Linked DNA regions of Saccharomyces cerevisiae S288C. The gene in region 3 interacts genetically with the main gene of each other region. Each region holds a gene or a part of one and is shown on either strand. Other genes may lie near its edges. The genes, in order: NET1, ZDS2 and IGO1.

Region 1 (11,538 bases), on a different chromosome or scaffold from region 3:
AGATGAGTTTTCAACCTCATCTTTAAACAGTTTCACCATTTTTTTACAAGACGACCTGCTGGAGTAACGGTAATAGTTCACGTCTGCAATGTATATCAAAAGGGTGATAATTAAGGGTTTTAAAACCTACAGGAACGAAACCATTATTGATAATTTCTCGCCGCATCAGAATGTTATTATTGGCTCCAATGGTTCAGGTAAATCGAATTTCTTCGCTGCGATTAGATTTGTTCTTAGTGACGATTACTCTAATCTTAAGAGGGAAGAAAGGCAAGGGCTTATCCACCAAGGTTCTGGTGGTTCAGTGATGAGTGCCTCGGTAGAAATTGTGTTCCACGATCCAGATCATTCTATGATATTGCCCTCCGGTGTACTTTCGAGAGGAGATGACGAAGTGACCATTAGAAGAACAGTAGGGCTGAAGAAGGATGACTATCAATTAAATGACAGAAACGTGACCAAAGGGGACATAGTCAGAATGTTGGAAACCGCTGGTTTTTCAATGAATAATCCGTATAATATAGTACCACAAGGTAAAATAGTCGCCTTAACTAATGCCAAGGATAAGGAAAGATTGCAGTTATTGGAAGATGTTGTAGGAGCTAAGTCATTTGAAGTAAAATTGAAAGCTTCATTGAAAAAAATGGAGGAAACAGAGCAGAAAAAGATTCAAATTAACAAGGAAATGGGTGAACTAAACTCTAAATTGAGTGAAATGGAACAGGAACGTAAGGAATTAGAGAAATACAACGAGTTGGAACGCAACAGAAAGATCTACCAGTTCACATTGTATGATCGAGAATTAAATGAGGTTATCAATCAAATGGAAAGACTGGACGGTGATTATAATAACACGGTATACTCTTCCGAACAATACATCCAGGAGTTGGATAAAAGAGAGGATATGATTGACCAAGTCTCCAAAAAGCTATCAAGTATTGAAGCTTCACTGAAGATCAAAAATGCGACTGATTTACAACAGGCAAAACTACGGGAATCTGAGATTTCTCAGAAATTAACAAACGTCAACGTAAAAATAAAGGATGTTCAACAGCAAATTGAGTCAAATGAGGAGCAGAGAAATTTGGATAGTGCAACTTTGAAAGAGATCAAATCTATAATTGAGCAAAGGAAACAAAAGTTGTCTAAAATTTTACCTAGATATCAAGAACTCACAAAGGAAGAAGCAATGTACAAACTTCAATTGGCCTCCTTGCAACAAAAGCAGAGAGATCTTATCTTAAAGAAAGGAGAATATGCCCGTTTTAAATCAAAGGATGAACGCGATACGTGGATTCATTCAGAAATTGAAGAACTGAAATCTTCAATACAAAACTTAAATGAACTGGAAAGTCAATTGCAAATGGATCGTACTTCTTTAAGGAAGCAGTACTCTGCGATTGATGAAGAGATTGAAGAGCTAATTGATTCTATCAATGGACCAGATACCAAGGGTCAATTAGAAGATTTTGATTCGGAATTAATACACCTCAAACAGAAGCTGAGTGAAAGTTTAGACACTCGTAAGGAATTGTGGAGAAAGGAGCAAAAATTACAGACAGTCTTGGAAACTTTATTAAGTGACGTCAATCAAAATCAAAGAAATGTTAATGAAACCATGAGTAGATCATTGGCAAATGGTATAATAAATGTGAAAGAAATTACAGAAAAACTAAAAATATCACCGGAATCTGTCTTTGGGACATTAGGTGAACTGATTAAAGTCAATGATAAGTACAAGACATGTGCTGAAGTAATTGGAGGTAACTCCCTCTTCCACATTGTCGTGGATACCGAAGAAACGGCCACTTTGATTATGAACGAACTATATCGTATGAAGGGTGGGAGAGTGACGTTTATTCCCTTGAACAGGTTATCTTTGGACAGTGATGTTAAATTCCCCTCAAACACTACTACACAAATCCAGTTTACTCCCTTGATAAAGAAGATAAAATATGAACCCAGGTTTGAGAAGGCTGTCAAACACGTTTTTGGAAAAACTATTGTTGTCAAAGACTTAGGTCAAGGTTTAAAATTAGCTAAGAAACACAAACTCAATGCCATCACTTTAGATGGTGATAGAGCAGACAAAAGAGGTGTACTTACAGGTGGGTATCTTGACCAGCACAAACGAACACGTTTGGAATCATTGAAAAACTTAAATGAATCAAGAAGTCAACACAAAAAAATACTGGAAGAATTAGATTTCGTAAGAAATGAACTAAATGATATTGATACTAAGATTGATCAAGTAAACGGGAATATAAGAAAGGTTTCTAATGACAGGGAGTCTGTCTTAACAAATATCGAGGTATATAGAACATCGCTAAACACCAAAAAGAATGAAAAATTAATTCTCGAAGAATCATTAAACGCAATTATACTAAAACTAGAAAAGCTGAATACAAATCGTACATTTGCTCAGGAAAAGCTAAATACATTCGAAAATGATTTGCTTCAGGAGTTTGATAGCGAACTCTCAAAAGAAGAAAAGGAAAGATTAGAATCTTTAACAAAGGAGATTAGTGCAGCGCACAATAAGCTAAATATTACATCAGACGCCCTAGAAGGTATAACTACAACCATTGACTCGTTGAATGCCGAATTGGAGTCCAAACTTATCCCACAAGAAAATGATCTAGAATCCAAGATGTCAGAAGTAGGTGACGCATTTATTTTTGGTCTACAAGATGAGTTGAAAGAATTACAATTGGAGAAGGAAAGCGTTGAAAAGCAGCATGAAAACGCTGTGTTGGAACTAGGTACCGTTCAAAGAGAAATTGAAAGTCTCATTGCTGAAGAAACTAATAATAAGAAACTGCTAGAAAAAGCAAACAATCAACAGCGATTACTATTAAAGAAGCTTGACAATTTCCAAAAAAGTGTTGAAAAAACGATGATTAAGAAAACAACTTTGGTTACTAGAAGAGAAGAATTACAGCAAAGGATTAGGGAAATTGGGCTTCTGCCAGAGGATGCTTTAGTAAATGATTTTAGCGACATCACAAGTGATCAGCTATTACAAAGACTGAATGATATGAACACAGAGATTTCTGGTTTGAAGAATGTAAACAAGAGAGCTTTTGAAAACTTCAAAAAGTTTAACGAAAGACGCAAAGACCTTGCGGAGAGAGCTTCAGAGCTGGATGAATCTAAAGACTCAATTCAAGATCTAATTGTTAAGTTAAAACAACAAAAGGTTAACGCGGTTGATTCTACTTTCCAAAAGGTTTCTGAAAACTTTGAAGCTGTTTTTGAAAGATTAGTTCCCAGAGGTACTGCTAAGTTGATTATTCACCGTAAGAATGATAACGCTAACGACCATGATGAAAGTATTGATGTTGACATGGATGCAGAATCCAATGAAAGCCAAAACGGTAAAGATAGTGAAATTATGTATACAGGTGTTTCAATTTCTGTTTCCTTCAATTCTAAACAAAACGAACAACTGCATGTTGAACAGCTCTCAGGTGGTCAGAAGACTGTATGTGCCATTGCTTTGATTCTGGCAATCCAAATGGTTGACCCTGCTTCCTTCTATCTGTTTGATGAAATTGATGCTGCACTCGACAAGCAGTATAGAACTGCAGTCGCTACACTTCTAAAAGAACTGTCAAAAAATGCCCAGTTTATTTGTACGACGTTCAGAACAGATATGTTGCAAGTTGCAGACAAATTTTTCCGTGTTAAGTACGAGAATAAGATTTCCACGGTTATTGAGGTCAATAGAGAAGAAGCAATCGGATTCATTAGAGGTAGCAATAAATTCGCTGAAGTCTAAGAGATATTTGAAACGATTTGTATATAAAAATATCAGTTTTGCTTACATAAATAGCTATTTGTATGTAATTATTACCATTGTCTCCTATATTGGAATTTTAAAAAATTTTCTTTTAAGATGATACTGTTACTAAACAATAATGTTAAATATAGTAACCAAGCTTTGATAATTCGACGTACAAAAAAGATTACTTTTCTTAAAGAAGTTGCCCGCTTGCTGGGAAAAGAGGTAAATAAGAATTGGTTTACATGAAGATTTTTTAATATATTAATACTTTTATATGCTTGATTATTTTTTTTTACTAGCTTTCTGTGACGTGTATTCTACTGAGACTTTCTGGTATCATTTTTTCTTGAAATCTTTTATTAATGATGCAAATCCACCACTTGGCTTCTTCTTCTTACCTAAAGCAGCACTAGCGGATTTCGCACTAATAAAACTTTTTCCATCATCAGATGAATCCCCTGAGTCATCAGAATCTGACTCAGATTTAGAATCTGAACTGGAATCCGATACGGAGTCCGAACTGGAGTTAGAGTCAGAATCAGAGCTAGATTCATCATCACTACTTGAAGGGGCTTTTGTTTGTGACTTCTCATTCGATTTAGAAGTTTTTTCCTTTACATCTGGGATGCCTCTTGAAACAAGATCAGATAATGAACTCAAAGAAGGACGAACTTTTCTTGGAAGGTCATGAAGTATACTAGACGGATTTGAGGTGGTCTTGGATTTAACTGACGGAGGAGACGACATGTCCATTAGCTGTGTAACTGGAATTTTATCAGGGGTGGCATTGATTTTTTTGTTAACAGATGGAGAGGGGGCTTCAATCTTAGATGAAGATCTAACTGGTTCTCTTGGTGTATTTACAACAACTCTTCTAGCCTTCCTGGATGTTGAAGTTTCCTCATCAGAAGACGAGGAAGATGAACTAGACTCGTCTTCTGTGGAAGAACCTGAGGAGCTAGAATCATCATCGTTTGCACTAGAATTATTTTTTTCATTAGAAATTATTCCAGGTGGCACGAGTGTTTTACTATTAGTAAATTTAGCCTTCAAATCCTTCAATTTATCATTTGCACTGGGCTTAGGAAGCTGAACATTGCCTTCTTTTAAGTGATCTGTCATTTTTAACTTTTTCTGAGATACCTGTTTGCTTTTGGAGTCTTCTTTTTCCTTCGAGTTATTTTTATCGTTAGCATCCTGTATATTGGCAGATGCTTTTTCTGGTTCCTTGGACCCCTCTGCTTTCTTGTTCAAGTCTTCACCTCCTATGTTTGCGCTTTTCAAATCTGCAACCCTAGAAGTTGTTTCCTTCTGCTGCCTATCAATCTGCGCAGACTCATTCTTGGCCTTCGTTTTAACATTTTTACGATTTCCTTCTTCATTGAAAGAGGTAGTTCCTTTAGTAGCAACAGAAGGAGACCCACCAACAACAGGAAAAGACGATGCTTGTGTTGCTGGCTTAGTTTCCACCTTTGTAGCTTCATTTTGCTTCTTGTTTGAATTCGGATAAAAGCTTTTCGCCATTTGTTCACTTATTTTGCTATTTGTTACTGAAGATTCACTCACGGCTGACTTTTTTTGACTATCTCTTTTGTCGTTTCTTTCTTCATCAACTTCTTTATTGATTATCTTTGAGTCTTTCACTGGAACAACACTGCCTTTCAAAGAATGTAAAGAAATGTCTTTGGGCCCATTATTAGGCACCGACATATTTTTCCTTTTAAAATCATCGTCTGATGAGAAATCTGTTTCAATCCCACTCTCTGACTCATCGTCTGTGGACGCTGCCGAACTAGAATCTTCAGTACTTTTCTGTGGGACTTCGTTTTTCTTGGCACCTGCCAATAATTGGGCAGCCCTCTTAGCCGCACTTCTTGGGGTTCGCTGGGGCAAAATATTTCTTGGATCTGGCTTAGAATTGTCTATGTCTTTATTCAAAACCGTTGTGTAAGGCTTTGAATTTTTGGAATTACCGGAAGTTCTCGAATTTTTGCCCTTAAACCATTGCGGTAGATCTGTATCATCACCTTCGATCATTTTGAAAAGATCTGACTTTGGGAAACTAGAGGAATCTGAATCTTGAGGAACAATACGAACCGTAGTATCAACTTCATCATTATCATTGCCATCGTCCTCAATGGTGCCGTTAATGATAGTGCCATCTTCCTTTGAAGCGTTGTTGTTTGAACTAACTTTCCCAGCTAGTGATTTCAACGTCCCATTAGACTTATCAGATGATGCAAGTATTGGCTGATCATTATGTGGAATTGTCGGCAAAATTTCCTTTTCTAAAAGTTTATCATTCGTATCTTCTTTTTCTCTTACCTGATTATCATCTAGGAAATTAGTCATTCTTTTCGGTTCCACAATACCGGAAGGTTCCGCCTGAGATTTCTTTTCCACTATAGTTTCCAGTGAACTCTTTCTTGGTGGTTGATGTTCTTGTTGCTTTCCCCAGGATTCGCCATTTGAAGATTTGGTGATCGAGGTATTGCTTGCCTTGGGAAGTTCTGCTAAATGCACATTGTGTGGCATGGCATCACCGAGAGGACTATTTTTCACCGGAGAGCCATTATTATCTGCGATGGAGCTTTGACTACGTTGCAAGGAAGCCTTTGAATGTGGTTCTGTTTCAGGAGTTTCTTGGTTTTCGCTACTTGAGCTATCGTCGGATTCGTAGTTCTCGCCATTTTCCAAGTAAGGTTTTTTCATTGGAATCTTTGCAGCTTTAGCGGGTAAAATGGAGGCCGGACTGGAAGGTCCCTCTTTTAACTCTTTTTCAATCTCTGAGATTCTTGGCTCGGGGATTTTCAACATTCCTGATGTTATTCTTGGAGTGGTTACGGGTGGTTTCCTATTAATGTCCTGAGCAGTGACAGCAGCTGTGCCACCATTAGCAAATGAAGAGGAAGAAGCTGAAGCAGAGAAAACCAATTCGTTTTTATGTGCGTGTTCAGAAACCACTCTCTGACCGGTAAGAGTAACTCTGTTTGGAGTCATGGTGGACATTATAGGAGTTCCGGACAATAGACGTTGCTGCTTTGTTTTATCTGGATCCACGGTTGCTGATCTGGACACGATATCTTCCTCGACGATGCTTGATTTTATTTTTTTACCTGCGTCAATGCCCGAACTAATTCTTATGGGAGGTGACTGAGGCTGCGTTGGAGGCGGCAAAAAGGATCTTTCACCAATGTCTTCGTCTTCGTCATCTGAGTTGTTGGAGACGATCTTCGAAGAAGGTGGAGGATAAATTTGCCTAGCCAATGGGGTAGAAACCCTCATGGATCCATTAGTGGCACTACGAATGGTTGTTGTTGTCGTGGTTCCTGTAGGTGGCCTCTTCTTGGCAATCCGAAGAACACCTGAAGAGGACGGGATTTGTTGTTGCGGCTGCACCGACTGGGGCGACCCGTTGTTCAACTTGGATCGTTTTACCGACTTATAAAGTGACACTGGTGCGGAATCGTCCAGATCTATCTCATTCTTCAATATAACTCTTACGATATTATTTACATTGAAAACGTCCTTTACCAAAAAATCCGGATCAAGGTCACAACCGCTGTTATCTTGCAAACTCAAAATTTCAATGTCTTCTTGCAAACTCGGGTACATTTTTTCACACTTATCGATGATTTCATCACTCAAGTTCAACAGCGTGTTTGTCGGCTTGGTAAACAAAAGAAACTTCCTAAACCTAGACTGGTTGAAATAGCTTGGCGTGAAACTCACATTGGCAGATCTCAGATTAGCATACTGCAAAGAGGCATCTCCGGCGCTTTGCGCCATATTAGTTCTGTTTGGCAACAATTGAGAAGATTCGGCGATGGTTGGTCCGTAGCCAAACTGTATTGGCATCGTCGCCTGAAGACTCGGAGGCACCAAGACCACTTGTAGCTTGTACATAGAAGGAGGCACGGTGTACAGTAATCGACTTCTCTCTGTTTCAGGCGAACCGAGACTAGGGATTCGATCAGCTCCGGCACTTATTTCATCGTGCTAGCTACTCTTCACTAGTTATTCAAATTGATTATTGACGCTTACCATGAAAAAGAAAAAAAGTTCAAAACATGTGGAACGGGTAACATAATGCACATATCGCTCCCTACGAGAAACAAATCTTATTTTCGAATACGTACACGTACATATCAAATAGGCTTATATCATTCTGACTCTTCACCAATCAGGGACATATCAGTACTACATCTGTTAATAGCAACGTTATGCACTATTTTTTTTCCAATTTTTTTTTCGTTGAGTAAAGTTCAGGTCGTACAGTGGCAAGGAACGACTATTTCTAAAAACTGTATTGCCTTAACCATGTCTTTCCCCTTGAACGCTATCCCTGGCATGTATCTGATAATTGCTTTCCCTCGTCTACAAACAGTAATTCCCCTGCAGCGAAATACTCCTGTTCGAATTACGAAATCGGTGATAGTGAAAGGCGCAGTGAGCGTGCCACGGATCTCCTCTCCGATGCACTAGGGTCCTGTTCCGTGCTCTGGTATCTCGATTAGGAAAGCGGAAGAAAAGAACGGAGGATACCTCTAATTAAGAGGGTCCGTTGTGTTGTGTTAAGCTCGGGTATAGGAAACTTGAAGAGAGGCGAAAAAAACCCAACGATGTGAGGAACGCGTCGCTATTGTTGGTAAGTTTGGCCGAAAAATTGTTTTTCTTCGCACATGGCTGGTTCTGCTGGAGGCGGCTGGGTGTTTATAGTTACCGCAATGCAGGTCGCTTCGTTTACTTTTCTCTGCGTGCTCGAGAACTGATAAATACTGGTTTAGGAAAACCGTCCACTTATGGATTTAACAAGGAGGTGAAAGGTAGGTACCATGGCAATATAGCTAGCAACGCTACGCACTAGCTGTGTGTGCTTGCTCTCTTGTGTTCGTCTTTCGTATATTGCGGGTTCCCGCGGTTAATTCAACAACAAATATGGTATCTAGGCAGGGACCCAGCAACGGAAGGATGTAATTGCTATATAGGGCCGATGAAACAGTTCTCATGTTTCAACTCGGTCGAAGAATTCTCTAAAACATATTCTATACTTCAAAGTTTTTAGCTTCTTGCTTTTCGGTAGTTGCCAAACCAATATCGGCATAAAATTATAATTGCTGCACCCCTGCAACTCCAAACAACTTAAAACAACTTAAAACGAAAACGCTTATGCTGGAGTTTCCAATATCAGTTCTGCTAGGATGCCTAGTAGCCGTCAAGGCACAAACCACGTTTCCAAACTTCGAGAGCGATGTGCTGAACGAGCATAACAAGTTCAGAGCGCTACATGTTGACACAGCGCCGCTCACCTGGTCCGACACTCTGGCCACCTATGCGCAGAACTACGCCGACCAATATGATTGTTCGGGTGTCTTAACGCATTCCGATGGCCCATATGGTGAGAACCTTGCCCTTGGTTACACAGACACGGGAGCGGTGGACGCCTGGTACGGGGAGATAAGCAAGTATAATTATTCAAATCCCGGATTTTCTGAATCCACGGGTCACTTCACACAGGTGGTTTGGAAGTCAACCGCCGAGATTGGATGTGGTTATAAATATTGTGGTACGACATGGAACAATTATATTGTGTGCTCCTACAACCCTCCTGGAAACTACCTGGGTGAGTTTGCAGAGGAAGTGGAACCACTTATAAGCACTGTTTCCTCGTCCTCATCCTCGTCCTCTTCTACCTCAACTACATCAGACACAGTCTCCACCATCTCATCCAGTATTATGCCCGCTGTAGCGCAAGGGTATACAACAACGGTATCGTCTGCGGCTAGCAGCAGTTCTTTAAAATCGACGACCATAAACCCTGCCAAGACCGCTACCCTCACTGCGTCCTCTTCTACCGTAATTACTAGTAGCACAGAATCAGTTGGATCCTCCACTGTCTCATCAGCCTCAAGCTCTTCTGTCACTACTTCCTATGCTACCTCCTCGAGTACCGTCGTCTCTAGTGATGCTACTTCATCCACTACCACCACCTCATCGGTTGCTACATCGTCCAGTACCACTTCTTCCGACCCTACCTCGAGCACTGCTGCTGCTTCTTCTTCTGATCCTGCCTCAAGTTCCGCTGCCGCTTCCTCCAGCGCGAGTACCGAGAACGCCGCTTCTTCTAGCAGCGCCATCTCGAGCTCTTCATCAATGGTTTCTGCTCCTTTGAGTAGTACTCTTACTACTTCCACCGCAAGCTCCAGAAGTGTAACTTCCAATTCAGTTAATTCTGTTAAGTTTGCAAACACAACTGTGTTTTCTGCTCAAACAACCTCTTCTGTAAGCGCCTCATTATCATCATCTGTAGCTGCTGACGATATTCAGGGTAGCACTTCCAAGGAGGCCACAAGCTCAGTTTCCGAACATACTAGTATAGTAACTAGTGCAACTAATGCTGCCCAATATGCAACGAGACTTGGGTCATCTTCCAGAAGTTCTTCCGGGGCCGTCTCTTCCTCAGCTGTGTCGCAATCTGTTCTGAATTCCGTTATAGCCGTCAACACCGACGTATCTGTAACCTCAGTTAGTAGCACAGCCCATACCACAAAGGACACCGCCACCACTTCAGTAACCGCCTCAGAAAGTATCACTTCGGAAACTGCTCAGGCTTCAAGTTCAACAGAGAAGAATATTAGTAACAGTGCCGCCACATCGAGTAGCATTTACTCCAACAGTGCTTCTGTGTCAGGACACGGTGTAACATACGCTGCCGAATACGCCATTACATCCGAGCAATCCTCTGCGCTTGCCACATCTGTGCCTGCTACAAATTGCTCTAGTATCGTGAAGACCACAACTTTAGAAAATTCGAGTACCACAACCATCACAGCCATTACTAAGAGTACTACAACCTTGGCCACTACTGCTAACAACTCCACAAGGGCAGCTACCGCAGTAACCATAGATCCCACATTGGACCCTACCGACAACTCAGCTAGTCCAACCGACAATGCTAAACACACCTCTACATATGGATCTTCTTCCACAGGCGCATCTTTAGATAGCTTACGCACAACCACCAGTATTAGTGTCTCAAGCAACACCACACAGTTAGTCTCTACCTGCACTTCCGAGAGCGATTATTCCGATAGTCCTAGCTTCGCCATCTCCACTGCCACCACCACTGAAAGCAATCTGATCACAAACACCATCACAGCTTCTTGTAGTACGGATAGTAATTTCCCTACCTCCGCTGCTTCTTCTACAGATGAGACGGCCTTCACTAGAACAATCTCGACATCTTGTAGCACTTTGAACGGCGCCTCAACCCAAACCAGTGAGCTAACCACATCGCCTATGAAAACCAACACGGTGGTTCCAGCTTCTTCTTTCCCTTCAACTACAACCACTTGTCTAGAAAATGATGACACTGCCTTTTCTAGTATCTACACTGAAGTCAACGCCGCAACTATCATTAACCCCGGAGAAACATCTTCTCTCGCTAGCGATTTCGCCACATCTGAAAAGCCAAACGAGCCCACTTCTGTCAAATCCACCTCAAACGAAGGCACCTCTTCCACAACAACAACCTACCAACAGACTGTTGCTACACTGTATGCCAAGCCCTCCAGCACAAGCCTAGGTGCAAGAACAACTACTGGTAGCAACGGTCGTTCAACTACCAGCCAACAAGACGGGTCTGCCATGCATCAGCCAACTTCCTCGATCTACACTCAACTAAAAGAAGGCACATCAACCACCGCAAAACTTTCTGCATACGAAGGTGCTGCAACACCTCTTTCCATTTT
Region 2 (10,609 bases), on a different chromosome or scaffold from region 3:
CACATCATTTCGACTGATATATATGCTCACTTTCTGAGTAGAATCGGTGGTGTTAACAATCCAGAACAAAACAAAATAATAAAAGATAATGTGAAGACTGATTTTATGAATCCTGTCAGAATATTCGCAAACCCCGGCATCACAGATGCTTTAGATAATATAGTGAATGGATCGGGATCCAAGCCGCATAAATCAAGAATAAGCTCAAATCCCCGTTATTCTCAGCTCTTTGGTTCAGAAAATGACAACATTTTCAAAGATAAACTCTTCGACGATGAAAACGATAATACCTCAGAAATTTCTGTTGTCGAGGATCAGTTGGATCACCCACGTAATATGGAGAAAGTAAGTGTTTCCAGCGGGAATTCAGGCCTAAATCCTAGCCAATTTTATGGGTCAAACAACTTTAGGGATAATATAGCATCCTTGACTATTTCAATTGATCAGATTGAGAAAGAGCTTGAACTTTTAAGGCATTTGATTTTGAAGGCAGATCTGACCAACAATCAAATGCAGTTGAAAATTTTAAAAAAGTCACAAAGAACCCTATTAAAGGAACTAGAAATGAAGGAACTGTTGAAACAGCAATATATGGTACAAGAAAATGGTAATAGTTTGTTCAGAAAAACTAAGATATACATTAGGTCGTACTTCAGTGAGAATTCTAGTAATGGCCTAAAAGAAATAACTTATTATATCATCAATATCCATCATTTTAACAATGGGCAGGTAAGTTCTTGGGATATGGCAAGGAGATATAATGAATTTTTTGAATTAAATACATATTTGAAAAAGAATTTTAGGGATCTGATGAGGCAGTTGCAAGATTTGTTCCCGTCAAAAGTGAAAATGTCATTGAAATATCATGTTACAAAAACATTGCTTTATGAGGAACGAAAGCAAAAACTTGAAAAGTACTTGCGAGAACTATTATCTATTTCTGAAATATGCGAAGATAACATTTTCAGAAGATTTTTGACAGATCCTACCCCATTCAAACTGAACAAGGAATATATGCATGATGATATTCTGGAGGAGCCACTTCATGAACCTATTGGTAGTAGTAATAGCACAAGTAATAGCAGTTCTGTTGTTGATTTACAAAGCTCTGAAGACGGCGGTGAATTGAATTTCTATGAAGATGAAAGACATTTTTTCACCGATTCTGGCTATCCTTTTTATTCGCAAAATAAATCTTTTGTTAAACAGATATGTGACTTATTTATTTCGCTCTTTGCTTTAAATAAGGCCAACGCGGGTTGGTTAAGAGGAAGGGCTATAATTACCGTTTTACAACAGCTTCTTGGGAGCACTATTGAAAAGTATATAAAGGTCAGCATTCAAAAATTGAGATCAGAGGATCAAGTATTTGAAGCAATAGTTACATTCAAGAATATGCTATGGGGTGATAACGGTCTGTTCGAAAGAAAAAGAAATGAAACGGCAGAGGCAACAAGAAGCGAAGGTGAAAGGTTACGGACGGAACAACTCGCTTTAACCAGTTTGCAAAGACTCTTCGCAGACACTTGTGGTCGTGTAGTTGGTCTAAGAGATTCTCATGAAGCTGCTGGCCGGGTCCATGCCATGCTACAGAATCCGTATTTAAATGCCAGCTTACTGTTGGAAGCTCTTGATGCAATTTTATTGGACATAATATGTAATGACTGAAAATAAAACTTGACTAAGTACCGAACAATCTAAAAAAAAAAGTGTAATTGTCACAATAGCAAATAAATTGGTACACTTCTTCAGCCGCTTTAAAAATTGTGTACTTCTTCTTAAAACAATTGGGAAGTATTTATTTTTCACGCTTTTGTAATCTGAAAAAAAAAAAAATATCAATGATATTCAACAGGCTAGCAACTAACGAAATCAAAAGAAATAAAATAAGCCATAAGCTATAGTATCATAAAGTCAAAATGCCTAGATTAGAAGAGATTGACGATTTCAATGATATCGACGACCTTGATATGGAATTGGCCGAGTTAGATCCATCTTTGAGGACGCCGATCGCTCCCAAGATAACGCCTAAGGTTGTAAGGAGCCAGGACCAAGAGAACCCTGCATTTTTACCTGGCACGAATAACAACAGTAATAGCAACAACAATAGTAGCAACGAAAAAGAGCAGTTGAGTTTTATTAACCCAAAAACTGGTAAGGTTGAACGTTCGGAGGCTATTTCGAAGAAAGATTTAGAAGAAGTCAAAAGATTCCAAGTACTCTATCCATGTTACTTTGACATAAACAGATCACATAAGGAAGGGAGAAGGGTTCCTAAGGAGTTGGCTGTTGAAAATCCTTTGGCTAAAACTATGGCAGATGCTGTCCGTGAATTGGGAATATTATGCATTTTTGAAGGTGAAAAATGTCACCCACAAGATTTTGGTAATCCTGGTAGAATTCGTGTACTTTTCAAAGAAAATGGACAATTAATTGGCGCAGCCACTAAATTCAAAGGTGGAAAGAGGCAATTAATGAAAGCTGTTGGGGAGTATATGAAAAGACATCCAACTACTATTGAATCTTTAAGGGAGATTCCATATGGCCCTGATTTCGACAATATTGAATTCAAAAAGATTCCACGTGTAAAGGGATTCAAAATGAATGAGATTGTTCCGCTGCATAGTCCGTTCTTGATGGGCCACCCAATGACAAAATCTGTTTACGAAACTCCTAAGATTACAGCGGCAGAAAAGTCGTTCAAGCCACCAAAAAATAAGTACAAAGTAGTTAGAAGATGATTGTCTCCTTTACCCATTTATGTATATGTATATGTATATTGAGATTAATATATTAATATATTAATAGATTATAATAGCAGAACTATAAGAATATGATGTTTGTTCAGATCAAGTGCTAAATGACTTGTTGTATCAGCTTTTAAATTTTTACATCAAGACAAATCAATTATTCGTATTATTTCGTCTGTAGTTGAAACAGAGTTCAATAAGCCAAGAGTTTTGAAGCAGCTACAGGCAAGAGGTACCGAAACACAGAAAAAAGTAACAAGAAAACTCTCTCGCTCTATATATATGTGTGTGAATATACGCTATTTATACACATATATAGATGAGCGGCGTGCATGTATCGTAGTAACTAAGATTAATAGTTCTTAAAAGAGATAAATAAATCATTTAATTAAAAAACTGATTTTTAAGCGGAGGCACCGTAGGTTTGAAGGTATTGTTCGATCTTGCTTTTCTCTTCTGCTGTTATTCTGCCTTCCAAATAGGTAATTATGTGAATTAAGGAGACAATGCTCAAGACTGGGATACCGTATTTTTTGCTAACAGTTTGAGTGGCGCTGAGTCCTTCTTTATCGTCAGTACTCACAACTTCCTGTCTATCAAGAGCAATTATGGAGCCAACTACCTGACCCTTGGCGTTACTGATGATCTCAAAGGCCTCGTTAATGGCAGTACCAGCAGTCATGACGTCGTCGATGATTAATATTCTCTTGTTCTCTAGGGCAGAGCCGACAATGATACCACCTTCACCATGATCTTTGGCTTCCTTTCTGTTAAAAGCGTACTGAATGTTTTGAAATTTAGAGCCACCAATCTCCGCCAATTTCACACAAACAATAGCAGCAAGTGGGATACCTTTGTAGGCAGGACCGAAAATCACATCAAATTTCAAATCAGATTGTATGATGGCAATTGCATACGCAGTAGCCAAATTGGAAAGCAATTTACCAGTATTGAACAATCCCAAATTAAAGAAATATGGCGATTCTCTACCTGATTTCAACTTGAATGAACCAAATCTTAGAGCCTGGCATTCGATGGCCAACTCTAGAAAGTTCTTTTGGTAGTCTTCCAACATAATAGGCATTTTGAATAACTTTCTTAATCTTTAATTTTTTTGTGTATCCTTCATACAATGTCAGACACAATAATACGCAACCAAAATTCCGTTAGTAGTATATCGCAGAAGTAATGCTTTATGGAAATTTTGAATGAATCTTATTTGACAAATAAAAGCCTGTTAATAATAAGAAGTGTCTTTATTCAAAAAAGGAACGTAAAGTTGGAACAATGATTGAAATACCCCACAAAATTCTCCCAAAAAAAAAAAGACAAAATGCAATTTCCTTTTGAAATGTATTCAAAAAATAAATTTGTTAAAAACCTCTGATTGATGATGAGATCAAACTACCAAACAATTGTTATCAAATCAAAATGCTCTTTGTTTTGCTTATTGAATATGGAAAATGTTTGAAAAATTTTCAAGCGCTAGTCATTCGGAACGAAAGTAACTGTCATCTTGAAATCTATGGTAAAGGAGAAATAAAACATTATTCCCCAGGAATTGACAGGAAAGTAGGGCAGTTACTAATGGAAAAGGACGCATTGGAGGTTAGACTGAAGTCTATTAGACATTCGCTGGACAAGAATACCAAACTTTTACCGGGAAAATATAGGAATACTCTAGGAGAGCGACTTATTACCAAATGGAGGTACAAGAAGAAATCCCATAATGGCAGTTCAATGTTGCCTGAAAAATGTAAGAGCCACGTGCAATTGTATGATGATTTGGTACAAGAAAGCTCTAAACATTTTGTTGGTTTCCGATTACACGATCTTCGGGCCTTGTTGAAAAGAATATGCTCCATTCAAAACTACACAAGGCATGTGCTCATTGAATGGGACGTTCGATGGGTCAATCCACTGACTCTAGCATCCAAGGGCTGGGAGCCGTACCAAAGTGCATCCCAGTCGCAAGTGCCATTTAAGTGCTGTTGTTGCCATGCCATTATGACAATTCCTTTATTAAAAAATGGCGATGATGTCGCCGATTACACCATGAAATTGAATGAAAAAATCTGGAATTCCAATATAATTGGAAATCATCTCCAAAAGTGTCCGTGGAGGGAAAATCAGGTTGATTTAAACAAAGAGTATTATTTAAGCTCACAAAACCTTATAAGGGAAATTGAAAGAATTCATACAGAAATTGACAGAATTGTTTCCGGATCAAATGAATTTAGCCTTAAAAGAAACTCTTCCCGTATATTTCATTACTTGTCTGAGAAAGAAATACAAAAATTGGCATTTTTTTTCGATTGTAAAGACTATTCTCTCGTAGGTCTGTTGCTTCTCGGCTACACGAAATTCCAGAAGGATGATCTGGTTCAATGCACGGCTTGCTTTCATCGAGCATCCCTGAAGAAGTTAGAATATACAGAATTTAACGGACACGCTCTATGGTGTCGGTATTACAACAAAGAGTTGTTGCCCACAATGTTGCTGGAGTTAATCGGCAAGGAGGACAAACTAATAACGAAATTGGGCGTGGGAGAAAGACTAAATAAATTAGAGGCTGTTCTACAAACTTTATAAATTAGATGTAATACATTATCCAAATTCTCATATGCTTGTATATGCCCCCATGCTGATGCGCAGATTCTGTCACTCTCTCTTTAAATTACGTGCACATATGCATACGCAACAGTCACGTTATATTCATGCAAAAAACCGAAGCAACATCATTATTTCAGTTATTCTCTTCGACAAATTTCTTTACTTTTTCGACAACCTCTTCAATTTCCTTATCTAGCATAAGTACAATTAAACCATCGCTACTAATTTCGTATTTGATATGACCTTCGTTCGGTATACATATTTCGGCATCGAACTTATCAAACCAGGTATTTAATTCGTCCAGTTCGTCAACATTAAATGGAAGTATCAACTCGTCAACAAATTCATGCATTTTTCCCGGCTTACCTTTCAAAAATTTTTCATCTTCTTTATTTATCTTGGTGTCGTCTTCTAGTAAGACGAGCATCCTATAAGTATTACTCTTGGACATTTCGTTTTTCTCTTTCGTCTTAGTGTAGTACGAGATAGAATTCAACCGCAAGGTAGCCTTGCTGTATTGGACAGATCATTCGAATTTGTTCCAAATAGGATGAGATGAGGTCGGCTTTTCTTCATTCTCGCTAGAAAATTTAAAAAAAAAGAAAAAAATAATTACATAAATATATATTTATATGTATATACTGTAGTCCTTCCTTGCATGAAAAGACGACGTTTTTCGTGATAATAAGAAGTTTGACACTAAAAGGGCATCCTTACAATACTTGAAATATGTGGCCTTATATAGGTATCTATCAATCTTGTAAACAGTTATGAGTTAAATGTCTGGAATTAAGATTGTGCCATCAGAATCATTTTTGTCCATCATTCCCAAGGCAGAATCACCATTGAAGGCTATATCTCCAGTGCCCACCTGCTCCATGTATAAGGTATGATTGACTAAATTCAAGTAGGAGTACATGAAGTTACTTAGCAATACTTGTTGTCTTAATTCCCTCCCGGGATCGCTAAGCTTCAGATGGCTGAGTCTGTAAATAGCCCTTTCAACATTAATTCCTAGACGATGGTCAAACATAATCACTGTAGAGTTGGTTATCATTGGTAATGGGAATCCAAAAGCACTGTCTGTGAATTTTATTGGAGCGTTTGAGTAATCTGGTTTAACGACATCTTCAAATGTCAATTTTCTTGGAGGCAAAGTTGAGATTTGAGGGGCAGTAGGTGAAGTGTTGTCTTCTCTCTCTGCTCCTATATCCTCTTCTAGTCCAGCTGTCGTATCTCTACTGATACTAGAGTGCACTTCGACGTCGTAGTTTACATCACCACCACTAATATCAAATGAATCGTCGCCATCTAACTCGCTTATAGTTTCCACCACAAATTCAGAACTGTGGCTAGTATGGCTGTCAGGAAGAAGGGTGGAAGCATTTGAACTTCTCACTTCTGGTTCAATGACGCTTGCTGTATCTATATCTTCGGTGGTAATTGTTTTGGTGGGGGATGAAGGGCGTTCAACTTCCGCTTCTTGGGGCTTTTTCTTGGGACTTTTCCTGAATTTTGATAAACTCGAATGCGAAGCCTTCTTTTTCAGTTCTTTTTTAACACTTTTTTTGATTACTTTCACATCTGATTTGCAGGTACCATTATGTTGTTTTCTTTTGAATAATTTGGCAAGCCTTTTCTCCAAGGAATTTTTCTTATGTGTACTGGCTTGGGTGTCAGTAGGCAGTTCTACCTTTTTCTCCACGACTGCCGGTGCAGTAGGCTTAGATGGCTGGGATTCAGATGAAGAAACGACTGAAGGAGTGATTACCACGGATTTTGCTTCTTCAGAATGTATCTGGAAAATTGGCGAATGTCTATTTTTGGAATGGTTTATTCTTTCAGAGGCACGTTTGGTAGATTTCGCTCTCCTCGATACACTCAAGTTAACAAAGTCAGCTTTTTCATTGTCCACACATTCTTCATCGTCTTCATCATCTGTAAGCTGTTGATAAGTTTGTTCATTAGCGTTCAAACTTCCATTGCTAGAATTCAACCATGACCAGCCATGATTTGCTTCGCTGTTATTGGTATTTGATTTTTCACTCGAGCTAACGTGCTGATCCAATTTTTCAGAAATCATCGAACCAGTGTTATGCGGCTTTATTAAAACGCTGTTGTTAGAACTATCTGTAGATAAAAGACTGCTCTCTTGAGAAATAGATGCATGTGTCAAATCTTCTTCATCCGAATAGTAGTTGGTGCTATCAACGTATTTCTCATTTTCGGTACTCCAATCAGTACTTGTTCTTCTGTAATGGTCGAAAATCTCGTGAAAATCATTCAATGATGCTTGCTCCTGAGGCACTTGTGTGTAGGAGGCAGGCGATGATGCACTTCTGCGATTGTCATTAGTTTGTATATTCATTAGGCTATTGAGTTTTACCGCCTGTGGAAGGCTACTACCCTCTAGTCTGATCTTATATGTGTTGAATTTAGACCTCCTTAGAGAAGATCTCTCTGGTATGGTAAGTCCAGTTTCATTAAACATATTTGATGCAAATTCGTTATCATTTTCAGTGTGATTGCCGTTCAAATGAAGACTTTCGTTGGTAAATGACCCTGACATGCTCAAGCTTCTGGCTAAAGTCACCGCATCTGAGTCCGTTAAACCGGCATTATTGGAAATCTTAGTAAGCTCTTCAGTAATTTCTTTCAAAGATACAGATCTTATGGTTTTGATGTCAGATGAGGATATTCGCTTATCCACTTGTATTTCTCCTTCTTGTGGTTTGTCTGCAAGGGGAGGTTCGTCATCAAACTTGGTATAAGATGTCTTCAACCGAGAAGGCCTTCTAACTACAGAGCCCGTGCGTTTTCTATTCGAAATTACATGATTGTTACCCAGTTCTAATTTGTTTTCATCAATGTCTTGATTTGTGCTTATTTGAATGTTTTGTAAAGTGTCCTGGATCAATTCCAAATAGTTTTCGGGCTTAACGTTAGGATGTTGGTCAGCGGGCACCCACAAAAGGTTTTGAGTTAAATCAACCATTTTTGAATCGTGGTCGTTCTCCACATCCAATACAACATCGTGAGCCAATGTCTTTACTCCACTGAGCCTTCTGTTCCTCGACGTTACTCTTGCTGAAGATGAAGTGGATGAAGAAGCATTACGGATGATTTTTTCCTTCTCCAATGTTTCTTCATCATGCAAATACTCTGTTTGAGTGATATCTATACTGTCGTCGACATTAGTAGCATCGCCCTCTTCATATGCATCATTGTCTTCGCTCCCTTGTTCTTCCTTTTGTTCTGATCGTATAATGTTCTCTTCATGGAGCGATTCTTGAAGGGATTCCTTTGAGGAATCTGAAGAATATGAGTTTCTACTGTTCACTTTGAACTCTAGCTCAGGGTCAATTACCAAATCCATTGAACCAATCGACAATCGCTTCAAATTTTTCACATTCTGAATTTCTGTATCTAAAGACTTGGCAGCAATTAACACGTCAGATTTCCTCTTCTCAAAAAGCTCCTTCTTGGACAGCTGTGTCTTCCTCATTCGCCTCATTTGAATATTATTATTACTGTCCGTACCACCACTACTGTTTTCTACAGTATTATGGCCATCTTTGTTTTGCATATCTTCCATCAGTACCATAAAATTCTAATTTAAATTCAGTCTATAGTGCAAACGTGATCAATGTAAAGTATACGATACTACTAACCTTGACACTGTTCTTTAGCGTTTTACTCCAGTTTTCAATCATATTATTATGATCTAACGAAGATGAGATGAAAACAAAAATAAGACGCGGCGTGTGCTACCCGCACAACGCGTCAGCAAATGTTACTGGTCACAATAATCATGCACTTATAATTAGCTACAAAAGGCCACTTCTAGGTCCAATGTGACCATTTTGCAGCCAAATCAAGCATAAACCGGCCGTGATACTATCGGCGATACACAGCCTAAATTTCTGAGTTTTGCGGTTTTCTCTGTGGGAAAAGTGCGAGAATTTTTCTGAATTGGGAAGAGTACATGTCAAAAACGGGAAGTGACACCATTGAGCAAATATCAAGGTATCCGATAGTTCTGTTCTCGATATTGGAACACAGTTATTTGGCAAATGTATCATTAAATGAAAGTCTTTCCGTATAGGATTCTGCCCTGTTGCCTGCTCTTCCCTAATATGGAAACTAGCTTCCGCATTTGACAAAAACTGAAAAAGTGGAAAAAAAAGGATCACACAAGAAACTATAAGGATATCTGCCACCTTCACTCCTTATACAGCTGCTGTTACAATTGCAAAGGGAATAGTACAGATCGCAGCAAGAAAGATATAATGTTGATTTCTTCACGGATCGTTCGAAGCTCGCTGGTAAATGTCCCGCTAAGATTATCTAGGTGTTTTACGCAAGCTCACAGAGCATGCAAAGAAGAAGAAGTTAATAGTCCTTTATCATCCGCAGCTGAACAGCCAGAGCAGAAGTATACGCATTTTGGTTCGAAGACTGTATTGAAGTCTACCAAGCAGAAGTTAGTTGGTGATGTCTTTTCTTCCGTGGCCAATCGGTATGACTTGATGAATGATGTTATGTCATTAGGAATTCATAGATTGTGGAAGGACCATTTTATCAATAAACTAGATGCGGGAAAAAGGCCAAACTCTACGACTCCTTTGAACTTCATAGATGTGGCTGGGGGATCCGGTGATATTGCTTTCGGATTACTAGACCATGCTGAGTCGAAATTTGGTGACACTGAGTCTACAATGGATATTGTAGATATCAACCCTGACATGCTTAAAGAAGGTGAGAAGAGAGCCATGGAACAAGGAAAATATTTCAAGGATCCTCGTGTGAGATTTTTGGTTTCTAATGGTGAGAAACTAGAGGAGATTGATTCTGATTCCAAGGACATCTACACAGTCTCCTTCGGTATCAGAAATTTCACCGATATTCAAAAGGGTTTAAACACTGCTTATAGAGTTTTGAAACCGGGCGGTATTTTTTATTGTCTAGAATTTTCCAAAATTGAGAATCCCCTAATGGACTTTGCTTACCAACAGTGGGCTAAGGTCCTACCTGTAATGGGCTCGATGATTGCTAATGACTACGACTCTTACCAGTATTTGGTGGAGTCTATCGAAAGATTTCCTGACCAAGAAACGTTCAAATCCATGATTGAGAAGGCAGGATTCAAATCTGCTGGCTACGAAAGTTTAACTTTTGGTATATGTGCCATCCATTGGGGCATTAAAGTTTAAAGTAAATAGAACAAATTTCCTTTTTTTTTTGTC
Region 3 (8,345 bases):
TTAGTTGATGGTCCTTTTTTTTATATCAAAATTAATGCAAGCTCTTGCAGTAGATGTACACTACAATGTGCCTATAGCTCACTGTTGTCACACTTCCGCCCTAGCTCGAGTCCTTGCTTGTACAAGCTCTTATTACATCTTTATACTCATTTGTAGAACATGCTTTTGCCACCGAAAGGAGGGTGAGGCAGTTTTATGTATATACGAACGTCGCTGGCCACGAGGGGGGAACTTTTCTTTTTATCGGCATGAGATAAAGGGTAGATACGAAATTAGCTAGACATTTAAAATATGAAAGCAAGGAAATTACTAAACTTCGAGATGTTCTTTTCCTTAAACTTCTAGTTGACAGCTCAACATTGATGATAGGGCTTATTGTAGTACCTATTTTATTTGCAATAAAGGGCATAGTAGTTGGCGTGCAAAAGGTAAAGAAAAAGTTTGGAAAGCACTCAAACACAAAGGACCAAAAAGAAGACAAGGACGAAGATAAACGACAAAGTATTTCTCAAAGAAAACAGCATACAGAATGGCCAATAGAGGAGAACCGGATCCAAAGAAGAGCACCGAATCAATCTGCTCTCTGACTAAACCGCAGCTTTATTCATTATATGATGATGACGTCGTGAGATCGGAAGATAACGAAATTTACGAAGAATTGAAACGCTCTGTCTCTATAGATTCTACCAAATATAGTAGAGATCAAACTATTGATTCGACTTTTTACTTGGCCCATAAGGTTGGCGGCTCGCTGCCAAGGAACACAGTATCTTCTAATAATTTGGAAAGGATTTTATCAGCATCATCCATTCACGAAAACTTTCCGTCAAGAACCAGACAAACTCGTCAAAATATTCTTCATTACCTGCAAGCTGTATTAATTTTGTCATTGAGCGGTTTCGCATATCATGAACTGTCCAGAAACTTGCACGATAATCATCTCTTACATCCAGATTTTGCATCGAGACCCCTTCTACTGGGTGTCAAACTTTGTAACTGGCTATCCAATGGGGTTCTGCCAAACTGGTTAGGCTACGGTGTTGAAGGACTGTTATTTGGTTCTGTTGTACCAATTCTGGATAATATTTTTCAAACAGAGGTTGTTAAGAGCTCTGTCCACCATGACAGTTTGACCTCTGTTATTAGAAGTATCAATGCCATGTTGGGAGTCACATTTGGGATCAGGAAAATACAGTGGAACTCCTCTTTGCAGGCGGCAGGGGCATGGGGGCTTCTGAATATTATACTGTGGTTGTTTTTTGACGGCTCAATATCCATGTTAATGAGCTGCATCTGCATTGGGGTGGGTTGTTGTATCTCTTGCTACAAAGATATTATCGACGGTTCCCAATTTTTATATTTCATGGATTTTTATTTCCTTGGTTCTCTAATGTTTGGAAAACTAGGAAGATATCTATATTCTCATTAAAGTCGAAATTCTGACGAGTAAATATTATTAATTAGAAGTACAAGAAGATAACATCAGAATGGCTTATCGTTTATATATAACTAATTAACGTAAACACAGTCAGCCATATGGCTGTAACACTTGACATTTCGAGAAATCACATAATAAGCGTTAAATATAAGAGACCCTTCTCTTTCCCTAAAAAAATATAAAAAAGTACAGGTTGTCTATTTATCTAATGGGTGATTCAGTATACAAACTGGACGACGAAGAGCTGTGGTTCCCCACTGGCGTTGAACTTGTACTACCACCTCCAATAGTACCGTTATTAGACGATGGTGGTCCACTCGATATACTTCCCTCCTTTTGTATCAACGTCGCATTATCTACTACACCAGCGGTTGAGGCAGTTGACGGACAAGTGCTTATCCTTCTTTTTATTATATCTTCTCGTAGTTTGCTGGGATTTGTTAATGGCAGGTTATTCTTTCCATAGTTTATTGGATCATTGTTTTGAATGCCAGCTTTCTGCAAAGCGTAATCACCACTGTCGAAATATTTTCTTTTCTGCATGGTATGCTTAAAAATATCTTTCTTTGATGGCAGCTTTCCGTACATTTTGTATAGCTTCATTTCGTTGGGCGAGAATTTGCTGGTATCAATAGTTCCGCTTTCGCCGTTATTCAGTTTAGTTAAATCTGGGTTACTACTATTGGGAGATAAGTTTTCATTCGACATAGCGGCGAGTTAGATATTCAGGTCCCTTTCTTTCGATAAAAATACCCACTTTAATGAGAAGCATTTGATGGTTAATGGACTTTTTTACGTTCTAGTTGTGATGAGGCCAAGCTATCCAGCCAAAGGGGGCTCAGGCTTCCATACTAAAATTTCAGCAAAAGATCGTTCAATACGTGTGGTGCCCGGGTAACAACAAGCCCTGCTACTAATAGCACCATAACGATTAATGTTGGGTAAATATCCACGGGGATACCTAGCCGAGTGGTGATTAATGAGACTTGTATTGGAACCATGGCATGCTCACTAGGATACGAGTCAGACAAGACCTGGAAAGTCACTAGTATTCTCGCGTAGTCTGACTTAGTTCCCTGAAATTCAGTGAAACGTGGTATTGTGATAGTTTGGAGATTATTAATGGAAATTGGATGTATTGCTGACCAACACACTTTAATCTGATATGTTTCGTCTCGCTGTAAGTCCGCCAGTTCAATATACGTAGTATTATGCAACTCCAAGTCAGTGGTATTGGCCTCGATAGTGATCTGACTCATTGCTTCTCCCGATAGTGATATGGAAGATATCAAGTTTACATCTCTTGCATAAGTAGAGCTGTCTCTTGGTTTTTTGAGGGGAAAGTTGTGAGGAACCTTATATAAGATTGATTCTGTATTAGCGTGTACAAATCCGATGAAAAATACAATTGTAGCGATAAACCAGTGAACATTCTGAGGCCGGACCATCTTCTTTTTAAAAATTGAACGAACCTATGTTGGCTTAGTGTGTGCGAATACCAAGGGTCAACAACATTGCTGTGCAGTTAATCTTCATATTCATGTAAACTTCTCATTTTTTCATTGCATATTAGTTTCCGTCATTGATGATCTTTTATAACAATAGTGAGAGGAAACAACTCCCTCTACCTTCAAATAGGGTCGATTCGGGAATATGATTAAAGAGACACCGAATCAAACGCATACATCCTCACAAGCATTTAGTGAGAAAAAATGGCGAGGCCTCAAAATCATCGCCGCAGTAATTGGACAGAAAGAGACGATAATGATGATTATCTGTTTCAGCGATTTCTAGAAGAATCGGAAACGAGGCATAGTAGAGAGCCTTCACCTGTAACCGAGCAATCTCAGCAAGAACTACAGCAGGATGTACAGCAAGCAATCGATGGAATATTTAACTCCCTTAGGAGGAATATGAGTTCTACTTCAAATATAAATAGAGCAGCTAATATGGATGCAACCACAAACGGAAATGGAGGAATCAATGCAGACACTATAAGAGCCACCAACGCCAATACGGCCGATTCCCCATTCACAGCAAGGCAGCAGAGCCCTCTCAGAACTTTTCTTAGAAATTTATTCATTTTAGATTACTTTATTGGGCTAATTTTATTCCCATTTTCCGTATACAACATATTAAGGAGCGGGTTCAATTCAATGACCTTTTCAGAGAATGATTTTATAATCGAAATCGTGGGATACTGGAAATTTGCCAAGATATTTGGTTCTGGTGGCACGACATTAATAGCATATAAGGATACTGGTAAATTAGGGTTGCTTGGAAAGTTTCATAACATCATTGTATTTTACTCTTCACCTGTGATAAAACATATTATGAAAAGTAGAGATGGCAATGAACCCAACTTAAATTGGATAAGACTAATGTTCGCTAAAGCTTTCGAGCTATTTGTCAAAGTCTCTACCATTCTGATCTATTTAGCTTATGGCGTAAGTGGTACCGTTTACATGGTTACCGCTGGGTTTTTCTTCGTATTGTGTCTATTATTCACTGTTATTAGAAGATATAAAGGTGTCCATCGAATGTTGGTGAGCCAAAGGATTACAGGGCCAGGCGTATTCTGATGATGAATCCACGATTATAATTTGTGTATTTGCTTATCTGTAGTAGTTTCTTTCGCATGTGGTCGCTGTATGAGACACTTGACACCAGAGGACGTTTATTTTGAAGCAACTCCTCTATGTAAGAGCTGTTTGCAAGCTTTCCGTACTGTGACACTTGACCATCATAACGTATATTAACGAACTACTAGGGTTGTTGTGGGCTTCTTTCAAAATGGGAATTGTTAAAAACTATTGATAAACGCCACTCACTACATGCATTGATTGTAAGATTTAACTATCCTTTTTACCTGATGTCTCGAAAATAAGCGTTTACAACAACTACTATTTTGCCGTTCTAGTTTAAAACATGGACGCTATAAAACACTAAATATATCAGAAGATTTCACTTAGACACAAAAGAAGGGGGTGAGATCCCTTATCTGTAGTAAAATGTATACAAATTATACGGACATTGTTTCTTTATTGTATCCATGTATACATGTGGGGTCTTGACACTTACAGGTAGTGAATGCTAGACCTTCGAGACTTAAGGTGAGCAATGTTTTAAAACTTTTCTTTTTTTCCCACTTCAGTGGAGTGTCACCCCGGGAAGATATTCACCTATGGTCAATGTAGCAAAAGATAATAAAAAAATATGTATGGCCAAGAATTTATATGATTCTTTCATCAATTAATTAATTAATTATTTGGGGTATGTCTTAAATAACAATAAAAAGGTGTATAAAACAATCATACTGCTTTAATGGGAAGTATGGTTCCTATTACGAACGAAAATAAAAGCTGTTGCGTGGAAATTTTGTAAAATAATGGTTATGATGACTGGTAAAAAAAGAATCTCTATGCTTCGCTAGATTTAATATCTATCAGTTCATGGGAAAATGCTTTCCAGAGCGGACTTGGAGGTGACACCATTAACGGCAGCAATGGACAACAAGATTTGGGCCTTAATTGGGGATAGGTAACCAGCACCCACAGCGTTCTTTGGAACATCTTTGTTGTCAATAAAGTTTAATGGAGTGTTAGCTTGAGCATATACGACTGGGATTTCAGTGCTTTCAATAGTAGATGAGGTTGAGTTGGTAGAACCAGAAGAAACAACAACCAAACCTTGAACGGCAGAACTCAAGGAGTCAATCAAACTGGAAGAGTAACCACCGTCATAGACAATTGGAACAATTGGAACACCGTTTTCTAATAGACCATAAGGAGTAGTGAAGTTACTGTATTCCTTTCTGATAATCGAGTCAGAAGAGATTAAAGTTGGCTTAGAAGCATCGAAGAACCATTTAACTTCGTCTTGGTCATCAACGATAGCAACAGGCAAACCAGCACCGTAAGAACAAGCAGTAGGTGGAGTGAAGACACCGGAGTACACTAATTTGTCAGAAGTGACGGACAAGACACCACGTTTGGTAGCGTTCTTATTGTTAGCGACTGGAATGGCATAAGCGGAATCTTCAGTGACAACAATAGGCTTTTCGGTGTCAAAAATGATAGAGAAGAAGAATGAGACAGCTTCCAAAGATTTGGCGTTGGCAACAACAACGGCACCGGCGGATGACTTATCTTGGATCGTTTCGTTAACAACACGGGCAACATTGTACAATTCGGTAATGTTCAAAGCAGAAGAACTGTTGAATAATCTGGTGTAGTTTGTGTGGGTCAAAGAACTGTTGGTGATTGGTACTTGACCACCTGTTACAATGATTTGTAATTGACTGCTTTCGGCAGTAGTAGTATTGGTAGTACTGTTTGTTCCATTAGCGTAGGTAACATTGCTAGAGTTAGACCCATTCCAGGCCGGCAAAGTGGAGTTGATATTCTTACTGTGAGATGCCTTAACAGCCCTGTATTTGAATAGGTTTTCGATTGGGCTTGCGACGACGGCAGATGAACATGCCAAAAGGGCAGATAAAACAACTTGGAACTTCATTTTCTATTACTGTATTACTTAACTGACGATTAATCCTGTAGATGTTTTTTGAGCTGATTTTTTACAAGCAAGAAAGAAATAGAAGGGATATTCAATAAGAGCAATAACCCAAGAGAACACAGCAGAAGTTCTAGCAAATGTCACCCTCTATCAAGCTTTTTATATTTCAGAGATGATGGTTTTTTTAGTGAGGTACTTTTTTCTCCCTTTTTCCTAATTATTACTAATAGGGTAAAAGAGATATAATAGGCGCTTTCTTTCTTCAAAGTATCGATGTTGAACTGTAGCATCGAGAAGCCGGCTTCACTCCCTACTGAGATTCTTCGGAGTTTGAAGATGCAATAGAGTACGAATATATCCCTTTTCAGCTCCTGAGCCTCTCCATTAGGAAAAGTATAAACTTTCGTCAACTTCTGCGCTAATTTTCGGCCCCTTCTTCGAGAAGTTTCGATTCGTAAAGGGTAAACTATTTAGACAGTGTACCCTTTTTGGGCTCATGTGTCTCTTGGACACATAACATGTCCACATAACATGCCCCGATTGGGTAAAAGTGAGAGACTTTTTCGCCCGCCGGATCTTCCGCGGATGACGAGAAAACTTCGCAAAAAAAAAAGTCACAAAAAAGTCACATAATAAACCAACGAATGGCCGATGTTTTACGGGTAAGCAAAAGTTTCGACGGTGAGAAAAAAACTCATGTGTCTTCAATCCCACATCAAGGCCCCTTCCTCTGGAAAGAGATCCCAATTAGGGATACCCGATCCGAGAATTTGAACATTGTGAGAACATTGAATCAATGATACCGAATGTTTAGCCCTCGCCGCCACATTACCCAATAGGGAATTGAAATGGAAATCGACTACTGAATTTTCCTATTGCTCATTTTTCTCTTTCCTTCAAACCATCGTCGGTAAAAGAAGGGAGTGAAGGGAAAAGCCAAAGATGATTAGGGATTCCGTCAGACATTCCTAAATTTGCCCTTTTTAAAAAATAGCACGCTTTAAGATATGCGTGTGGAACTAGTTCATCATGGTTTGACCTATCCCGAACGCTTTTGTTTCTAGCAATATTTGGTTATGACGATCTTTCAAGCGACGATTAATGAACTTGAAAGTGTAGGTTTTACAGTGATCGGTTGTCGAACCTCCGCTATCGTCTTCCCTGAGTTTCATTCAGTATTGTAAGACTGGATCATCTTATAATTTATAGTTCGAAAGGCCGAGAGGAAGCGCGTGATGAAAGCACGATCTTTTCTCTTTTACGACGTGTTAATAACAAAAATTATATATTCTTACACGTGTGTATGTTATTTCATATTTTTTTCAATATGGTCGATATATATAGATACTTCCTCTACAAAATCGTCCCCTGATCTGCCATCTCTTTTACCTTTTTCAACTACATCAGCCATTTTTCTTGTTTTTCAAGGTAAAAAAACCAGCCATCACCGAGATTGTGCTATTGTGCGTGGATGTATGGATTAAGGGCAGCCTGTAGGTTACTAGGTACATTGTCTTCGGAAAGGTGGTCGTTCAAATACTTCAAGGAGACATATGATAAAGCTGATGTCTATTTTGGTAATTTTTTTCCCGAAAAAAGTGCAGTTATTTATTCATAATGTGCGTTCTACATCCATAGATAAATACTTGAATAAAGAGGAATGTCCTTAACGCGTCCCTACAACGCATTTTTTCTTGTCAAATAGTCAAATCTGGAGTAAGTGTAGCCAATAAAAGGTAAATCTTCCTTGACTGGCGCACTTCCACCTTGCTTTGTCATCTGTTCCCTTTGTTTGGCAGCTTGTGCCATAGCTGGGGAATCTGGAACATTCTCCAACTCATCGGTTGGGAAGAACCTAGTATCGGTGATGGAGCTCAACTTTGGTATATACGGTGCTTCTACTTGTCTGATTGTATTCCAATCAACACCGCGAAAAAATGGATGACTTTTTATTTCATCTGCACCACCATGTCTACCAAGTCTTTGGTCTGCATGAGTTAATAGTCGACGGATTAGATCTTCGGCTTCATAAGAGATATGAATATCATCAGGAAATTGTAGAGTTTGCTCAAAATTCATGATTTTTCTGTACGTTTCCTGTGGAGTTTCGGAACAGAATGGAGGCCAACCAATCAGACACTCGTACATAATTGCTCCAAGTGACCACCAATCACACTCTTGCCCATAACCTTGGTATAAAAATATCTCAGGAGCAATATAATCTGGTGTACCTACGGTAGAATATGCCATTAAACGACGTGATTTTCTCCATGTCTGAATTTGTTGCCTGTTTGACATTGTTAGACTAATAGAATCCACAACCATTGTTTGCCTTTTATTTGCAGTATCGGTTGTATTTGCATTGTAAGTACCTGGCTTGGAAATACCATTA

What was found.
Region 1: of IGO1 (region 3) and NET1, changing one suppresses a phenotype caused by changing the other (phenotypic suppression), as found in Saccharomyces cerevisiae (one study listed by BioGRID).
Region 2: mutations in IGO1 (region 3) and ZDS2 impair growth when combined (synthetic growth defect), as found in Saccharomyces cerevisiae (one study listed by BioGRID).

What each region holds. Positions count from the first base shown.
Region 1 is NC_001142.9:291,400-302,937, reverse strand, and holds NET1 (Net1p), read right to left. Parts: upstream 7,694-11,538; coding exon 4,124-7,693; downstream 1-4,123. Other genes in the region: cohesin subunit SMC3, read left to right, coding at 89-3,781; APQ13 (Apq13p), read left to right, coding at 4,062-4,478; YJL077W-A (uncharacterized protein), read right to left, coding at 8,053-8,139; ICS3 (Ics3p), read left to right, coding at 7,877-8,272; YJL077W-B (uncharacterized protein), read right to left, coding at 8,793-8,891; PRY3 (Pry3p), read left to right, coding at 8,957-11,538. UniProt on the Saccharomyces cerevisiae protein: Has a role in chromosome maintenance and is involved in mitotic exit. Inhibits the action of CDC14 by sequestering it in the nucleolus. Also binds to RNA polymerase I and stimulates rRNA synthesis.
Region 2 is NC_001145.3:49,998-60,606, reverse strand, and holds ZDS2 (Zds2p), read right to left. Parts: upstream 8,968-10,609; coding exon 6,139-8,967; downstream 1-6,138. Other genes in the region: MDM1 (Mdm1p), read left to right, coding at 1-1,668; RNA-binding signal recognition particle subunit SEC65, read left to right, coding at 1,920-2,741; orotate phosphoribosyltransferase URA5, read right to left, coding at 3,154-3,834; PML39 (Pml39p), read left to right, coding at 4,338-5,342; YML108W (uncharacterized protein), read right to left, coding at 5,497-5,814; COQ5 (2-hexaprenyl-6-methoxy-1,4-benzoquinone methyltransferase), read left to right, coding at 9,653-10,576. UniProt on the Saccharomyces cerevisiae protein: Acts as a negative regulator of polarized growth via an alternative mechanism to ZDS1. In heat-stressed cells appears to play a role in localizing BCY1 to the cytoplasm. Seems to interact with, and down-regulate, CDC42. Also acts as a suppressor of PKC1.
Region 3 is NC_001146.8:334,153-342,497, reverse strand, and holds IGO1 (phosphatase regulator), read right to left. Parts: upstream 2,147-8,345; coding exon 1,640-2,146; downstream 1-1,639. Other genes in the region: YNL155C-A (uncharacterized protein), read left to right, coding at 363-587; NSG2 (Nsg2p), read left to right, coding at 530-1,429; PGA1 (Pga1p), read right to left, coding at 2,290-2,886; ASI2 (Asi2p), read left to right, coding at 3,151-4,020; YGP1 (Ygp1p), read right to left, coding at 4,889-5,953; serine/threonine protein kinase CBK1, read right to left, coding at 7,631-8,345. UniProt on the Saccharomyces cerevisiae protein: Required for TORC1 to properly control gene expression and chronological life span. Plays an essential role in initiation of the G0 program by preventing the degradation of specific nutrient-regulated mRNAs via the 5'-3' mRNA decay pathway.